Oryzias latipes: one gene and its partner. The protein of the gene in region 1 purifies or fractionates together with the protein of each later gene. This does not show direct contact. Links are inferred from orthologs where the notes say so. Each region holds a gene or a part of one and is shown in the gene's direction. Other genes may lie near its edges. The genes, in order: kpna3 and kif22.

Region 1 (4,563 bases):
GGCCCACAAGGGATGTTATAAATATGGCCCGACCAGGCTCGGCCATGTTGGAAGTTTGGCGGGGCCCAGCGCCCAGGGGCAAGGACCAGGACCCACCCCCCAGGGACACGAACACCCCCGGCTCAGGTGTAATATGAACCCCCCCACCGTGCGGAGAGAGCACCGCCGGGCCCAGGGAGCCGGCACCCAAGGGACACGGCCGCCATCGCCAAGGGGCCCGCACCCCCCACCAGGGAAGGGCTAGGGGACAGATGGACCCAGGTCCCACCTTCCTTGTAAAATGTGTGTGCGTGTATGGGTGTTTGAGAGGGTGTTTGTGTGCATGTGTGTGTGTTTATGTTTGAATGTATATATTGAAGGGGGAGGGGTGTGTGTACTAAGGGGGGTGCAGTTAAAATTGGCGAGTAGGGCACTAAGGGGACATCTCCTGATTACTCACAGTGATGTCCCCTCACCCTCCACACCAAGGGGCCCTAAATGTCTAAGGTGCGGTTAAAATTGGCGGGTAGGGTGCCAGGAGGACATCTGCTGCTTGCTTGCAGTGATGTCCAAGCACCCCCCCTACCAAGGACCCTACATGTCTAAGGTGCAAATAAAACCGAAAGAGGGGGGGCCCACTCCATACGGCAACCATAGGAGGGGGGCCACTCCCAAGTAGCCCCCCCCCAAGGCGCATCGCAGGCTAGACCCCCCACCCCCTCACCCTAATATGAGGTTATATAAGGAAGGGGGTAAGTTGGGGACAGCTGGTAGACTGTCCCCCGGTGGTCAAACAGCCGTCCCCCAGCCCACCCCCAGCAAAGGGGCCAGGGCCACCCAGCCCAGGGGCCCACCCCCGGAGGCGCCGACACCCCAGGCCCGGCACCACCCACCCCACACAGAGAGAGAGGAGCCAGAAAGCGTCGCCCCCCCCCGGAGCAAGCCCAGGCCCCCACCCCCAGACGCCGGCCCTAGAAGAGCTCTGGTCAGGCCTCGACGGGACCGAGGAGGCCAACCGGCCGAGGCAACCACTGATTGCCTCAGCGGAGACCCCGACCCGCTAGCCCCCCCGACCCGTACTAATAATGGGCCCCCCCTCCCCCCAGAACGCCCCCCCACAGGACAGGGCCGACAAGCCCCCCACCCCACCCCACCCCAGACCCCGCAGCCGAAGCGGGTGACACCCAGAGCGACCGGGGGCCCCGAGAGGGTTTCAAGCCAGAATCTGGCTTGAAACTGTACGGCTGGATAAAAACGGCATAATCAATATAAAAAGATCACTCTGAACGTTTTGCAAATAGCTTAAAAGATGATCGTACTGGGTCTTGTGCGGCTGCAGTTACGGTTTTGTTTTTATTCCCATTATACATCTGTCAACATCCTCTCCCACTAGCTTACAGTCCCTTAGATGCCCCACCTTACATTACCGGTGCAACAAAAATAGTGAGCAATACTGGAGCTATCCAGGTGTACAGTTTTGATCAAGATGTCAGCTCAGACGAGGAAAACAAAGACGTATATTGATCTATCTGTCTCAAGCTCAATTTTCTGTCCACCATCATCAGAAAAATGCTACAAGAACATGTTAGTCCAAAAGCAGGTTTTTATTCCAACTGTGCTGCATCCTGGGAGCCTTGGATACCAGGGACAGCCCATCGGGATGGGAGGGGTAAGTGGTGGGCGGTATGCTCTGACTCCTCCCACCCCTCCGCGATCTGCTACGATCACTCCTCCCCCTCCTCCTCTGTGGGGCCAACGGCAACAGCAGCAGCACAAGAAGAGCCGTGCCTAGTCTTTGACGGAGGAGATCCACTAAAACGGGAGTATATTAGCTAAAGCCCGCACAGCCATGGCAGAGAACGCCGGCTTGGAAAACCACCGCATCAAGAGCTTCAAAAATAAAGGGCGTGATGTCGAGGTGAGCTTAGACAAACCCGTGGTTTTTAAACACCACGAACGGAACCATTTTCAGGTATTAAAAGGGCCTCGTTTGCCCTGGCCCCTACTGAAACAGTTTGCTTACAAGTCAGCTAGCAAGCCATCAGGAAGAATTCGCTATGAAATCTGTCAATCTGTTCGATTGTGTGTAATAATATTTTGTATTCAAAGTGTTGTGATTGGGTATTGGTTAACACAATGTGTGTTACTTTAGTCCATGAGTAGCTGTGAACAGCAATCTCTCACAGAGTCAGTCTGATTAACGGTAGGCGACGAAGCTGTCACTACCGGCTAACTAGCTAGCTAGCTAGCTGGTTGGATGGATACCGGTCGCAGGCGGGGCTGGGCCTGGCCGGCTTCATCAGCGTTATATATACCGTATATTAGTGAACCACCAGTAGTCTGCGTCACTGTTACCTGCGGCACACACGGTCACCATACCTTGTGTAACAGTTGTAAATGTTGTAATCAATTTCCGGTCTAGGTCACATTTTTACCTCCTCCTGTCCTGGCTGATCGTTAGCTTGCTAACCTCATCAAGCTTGCATTAATTTCCAGGTGGTTCAGGTAAACCAGGCTACAAGGAAATAAACCCAGATCAACAATTACAATCCGTTTACTGTTTTCGTGTTATCTTTTAGTTTCAAATTGTACAAACAAATAAATTCTAAACGTAATAACTCTTCAATTATTAGTTTTTTTAATCTACCTAACAGTTTGGTTAACATAGTATTGACTGTTTGGAATTCCAGATTTCAGAATTGTACTTTCACACAAGTGTTTGATTCTGTCGGGTTTAGTGGTAGACAGTCTGTTGTTTTTGGGCCTCACAGGCTACTGTACCATCTAATCAAGTTTGTTGCTGCATCATTCTCATAACAAGTGAAATTAGGAGGACAAATCCTTCTGAATTCTTGTTTGCATTAGGCCTGCATGATGAGGCAACAGTCTGGATTAATTGATGTTAGGTTAGGTAAGAAAACAAAAGATTATTTCATTAAACGCATATTTTTGAAACTTTTTTTTCCACAAGATGTTTATCAAAGCGCTCTAGGCCAAAGGTTTTAATAACAATGACACACTTGTGCCTGGGTTATTGTGATCTATGTCTAATCCTGAGATAATCCCTAAACAAAAGTGTGTCTGAAAAATCCACCTCAGTGTTTGGAGTACCCCAACTGAACACACCAACACAGGTTGTTGTTTTGAAAGTTGGGTCAGGCTGACAAGCACATGGCTACCATGACACACAGACGGTGCCTGCTGCATTCCTGATGCTATTTCAGGAATCTCGGATGTCTGACCCTGGGCCTCTTAAAGCCCCAGCATGAACTGGACTTTTCAGTGGGTGACCCATACTGCATCAGGGAGAGACATGTCCATTTGAGCTTGTTTGCTTTTAAGTCAGCCATCCTGGATGTATTCTTTGTTCTTGTCACTAATACAGGAGAAGTAGAGAAAAGCTAAGAAGTATTGTATTTTATTGTATGTTTGCAGTGATTGGGAGGCTCCTCTCTTCTCCACTGCCCTCTTATTTATAACAGTTCCTGATTACGTGAGTGGCTATTTAAGAAGGAAACATGAACCTGTTTTTTAAGCATCACAAGATCTTAGGACATCTCCGTGTTTTGGATAAACAACAGGAAACCTGTTAATAGATCCGTGTGGTTCCCTGTTAGGTGCTTTCTGTGGGAATATGCGGCATCACTTTGGTATAACTGAAAATATGACCTTCAGGCTCCTGTCTGTATCCTAACAGACTAAACTGCAGGAGTGAATGTAAGTAAGATTCTGTTTTAAGTGAATACCATGGGATTTTTGTACGATGAGCGAAATTTAGGAAATGAGACAAAAAAGAAACAAAATTATGCAGAAAAGTGAGACCAACAGTGTCTGACGAACGGAAACATTGTGTAGGAAAAAAGGTGATGAGTGAATGAAGCCTCATGAAGCCTTACAGCACTCCAAACTTCAAGGCCTTGGTATGGAAAACTGTATGGAGTCACACACCAACCTTCCATAAAAAATTTACATGAAACAAGTTAAACAAACCGCATAGTGGTGTGTTTGTTGTGTATGAGAAATGTCTTATTTCTTTGTAGATTTATTTGTTAATTAATTGTACCGGCTCCATTTGTAGTCCTTCATGTGACTCCTAAATCATGTTCTGTCATGTTTGCTGTAAAGTCCTTCACTCCAGACATTATGCTTCCTATAAGAATATGATTTAAACATTTGCTTTATTTGATGCTGACCTCCCTGATTCTTTAAAAACACTGCTGCAGAGTACAGTCATGTCACATTTGCTTGTAGTACGACTCTAATTCACCCTGGTGATAATGATTTTGAAAAAGGAATGCATTGCTTTTTTAAATTGCAGTTTATGCTTGGCTAGTTTCCAGTATTTGCATAGCAGAGCACATAATCTAAGTGTTCGTGGTCAAAGGCAAAGACTGCAAAAAATACAAATTAATAAAATGCAGGCAGCTGCAGGTCAGCCATATGAATGTACACGTGTTGCTGATAGGAATTCGTTTAGCTGTAAACATCCATGCAAACATGGGGGTGGCAAATTTAATCAAGAAGACTGGCAATCGTTTGATTTATTAATATTACAGCTTTTTAAAAAAAAAAAAGTCTTGGTAT
Region 2 (3,025 bases), on another chromosome or scaffold:
ACTCAGTCGTTTCTACATTTCCCATCAAATGGAACAAAAAAATCAAAAACCTTATTTCCTAAAGCAAATAGATTTTTTTTATTTTTTTATAGAGGAAATTACTAAACAAGTTTTTCAAAACATGTGACGTGTTCTTCCTTAATGAGTTGCTTCTGTCACATCGATTCTCAGTTTTATTGATCTGCAGTGCGAGATCAAATGGCGACGAGGAGGGATTCTTTTTACACCCCTCAGCATCACTGAGAGCCACTCGGATAACTTTCTTACTCATGAAAACACACTTTCAGTTCTCCACTACAACATTTAACATGCAAACTTTTTGCCCAGAGAGAATCAGCTGTTAAAAAAAAAAGGTGAAAAGGTTTCATCTTTTTGTGACATTAAAGATTTTGCATGTCTCCTCCTCCTCCTCTTCAGTGTCTCAGCTGCAGCCTCCTGTCCACCTTGCTGTCTTCAAGAAACAGTCCGTCTGTGTCAAGAAGAGGGAGCTTTCCAGCAGGATTGAGGTCAGCTTTGACTGCGCAGTTTGTGGCTTGACACATCTGCAGAGTTGCAAGCATCAGATACAGGCTGACACAGAGCATTAGTTTCACTTGTGGTGTTTGTTTTTCATTTTGTTTTTGACGCAGCAAATGCTGCAAAATGTCACATTTGTGTTAACCGCATTGCAGAACACGTAAGGGGAAAGAGTTGTTGGTTTAAAAACCGGTTGTAGGAACAGGATCATCACGTAGAAGGTGTATTCTGTTGAGTTAGATTTATTTTATTTTATGTTTTTGTTCTTTCAGCTCCCAGACGGTAAGGAGAACATGAAGGAGAATTCCTGGGAGTCCCAACTAGACACGCAAATGCTGGAACAGTCAAAACAGAAAATCCTGCACATCTTGAACAGCGGCGGTGTTAAAGAGCTCAAAAGTCTGCAGCAGATTGGGGACAAGAAGGCAAAGCTGCTTCTGGGCTGGAGAGAGCTTAACGGCCAATTCACAAAGGTTTGTTAAAAGAATCCCTGTCATTTAAGAAACAAAAAGAACTTCCTGCTTCAATTTGTTTTCACTTTTGTTTTTATTTTGTAGTTGGAAGATCTGGAAAAAGTAGAAGGCATGACAGAAAAGAGATTTGCCTCTTTTTTAAAGGTGAGAGACCAAAAACATTTTGTCCTGGTCATTTGTGCTCCGATCATCTTTTGATCTATTTTAGGATTCCCAGTCGTCTTTTCATTATTATCCTGTTTTTAGCCAAAGATAATAATAAAAAATAGCTACTTTTCAAGGACTTAGTGTCTGCAGAGCAGCAGGGGTTCATTAGAAATTTGCCTATACGGTTTGAAGGTGAAGCAACCCCGCACCCCTTTCCCTTCCCCATTGCTGTTAGTGCTATGGTTACATGTACGAGCCTGTACCTCACACACTAAACTTAACGTTAGCAGTGCAACAAAAACGGAAAGCAGGGTTGGAGCTGTCCAGCAGCACAGATTCCAGCTCAGACCTGAGGACCTGGCGCAAAAATGACCTTTTCTTTTCTTTTTTCCCTTTTCAACTACATTTTGGCTAATATGCATCTGTGAACATGTTTTTGACATGTTCTTGTAACATTTTTGTCATCATGGTGGACATGCGTAAAAGAAAACTGCATTTCTGAGATTTTATTTAAATGGTCTTGGATCATGAGCAGATGAAAACCCGCAGTTTGTGATGCCATGGATGGGCCGAAGTCTACCTGCACTTCTGCAACTCTGAAGCATCCACCTGCAGACAAATTGCAGAGTCTACATCTTCATTTTCCTCGTCTGAGCTGGATTCTGGTTAGCTCTGATATTGCTTCCCCTTTATTTTTATTTATTTATTTTTGCTACACTATTGTTGTTTTTGGCCTATAATATGCTATAAACTAGTGGGAGATGGTGGAAACAAAGGGTTGATGGGGAAATTGACAGAGTCCGGCCCACAACCCAGAGGTGAATTTCTAATGAGTTCCTGCTGCAGAAAAAACAACACAGGCTTTACTGATTAATCAAAATTAAGACCCCTGGGAACTTTTTTGCAATATAAATATAGATGAAGTGGGACTTTAAGGACTAAACTGCTTGTTTAAATAATGGGAAGTTGAGTGGAAAAACCTGTATCATCAGGTTTTGATTCTAATATTTCTGACTGTCAGCATGATTCTTTTTAAAGTCCTGTGAATTATTTATCCTTGTTCTCTTTTGCAGGCGAACATCCTGAGTGCCATGGGGAAATGATCTGTTTTTATAATGTGTACATGTATATATATATATTTTTTTCTTTACATCAGTTGGACATAGTTTTTATTTCCAAAGCTTTTGTTTTTGTAATTTAAGTTTTTTTTCTTTTTCAAAGCTTTTAATGTTTTTGTAATGCCAGCTTTTTCCTGTGGGTGGCACACTCGTGCGTTTTAATAAACCTCACGTGAATGAAGTGTTTGCTTGTTTATTTCACACCTTCATCTAGTCCCCATCAGAGGGGAAGGAGCATTAGTCCTCTGAAGCCTCCCCACACCATTCACCCCCCAAATAGGATTCAAAGAAAATATTTGGGGCAAATCGGCGCCTTTCGTTGAGGGTTGTGTGAAGGATGGTGGAGAGCCCTCCTCTCCTCCCCGTTTCGCACGTAGTCTGGATTTCACTTTTCACACCCCCTCCTCCCCCTCCCGGATCCACCCTGGAGGCTACCCATCCATCCCAGCCCTCTATGCCGGAGCGAGGATACACCAGCAGTCCTGCATTGTGCGCGTAGCCCCCCAGCAACGACTCCCCTACAGCATCTGGAGACTCCGCGGGCTGTGAAGGACACTTCTGCGCCTGAACCCACGATGCTCAGAAGAGGAGCGATCCAAACGCAATAAGAGGTCAGTTTCATTTATTCTCCGTGTTTCCTCACCAACCTGCACGTTTTTCTCCTGTCCTTCCTTTATGCTGGTGGGAGATATAAATCATCAGCCTCATTTGTCCGACTGCCCCCCCCACACATCCCTTTTGTCCTCTGCCTTTTGTTAGGCGGTAACCGCG

The links.
Region 2: the proteins of kpna3 (region 1) and kif22 purify together in Homo sapiens (affinity purification with mass spectrometry; 3 studies listed by BioGRID and IntAct, counting the BioPlex papers as one, with this or other methods). This does not show direct contact. The link is inferred for Oryzias latipes from reciprocal best matches to the Homo sapiens genes KPNA3 and KIF22.

What each region holds. Positions count from the first base shown.
Region 1 is NC_019879.2:9,658,595-9,663,157, forward strand, and holds the start of kpna3 (importin subunit alpha-4), read left to right. Parts: upstream 1-1,708; 5' UTR 1,709-1,828; coding exon 1,829-1,897; intron 1,898-4,563. UniProt on the Homo sapiens protein: Functions in nuclear protein import as an adapter protein for nuclear receptor KPNB1. Binds specifically and directly to substrates containing either a simple or bipartite NLS motif.
Region 2 is NC_019877.2:7,647,105-7,650,129, reverse strand, and holds the end of kif22 (kinesin-like protein KIF22), read left to right. Parts: intron 1-417; coding exon 418-506; intron 507-788; coding exon 789-989; intron 990-1,073; coding exon 1,074-1,133; intron 1,134-2,209; coding exon 2,210-2,239; 3' UTR 2,240-2,435; downstream 2,436-3,025. UniProt on the Homo sapiens protein: Kinesin family member that is involved in spindle formation and the movements of chromosomes during mitosis and meiosis. Binds to microtubules and to DNA. Plays a role in congression of laterally attached chromosomes in NDC80-depleted cells.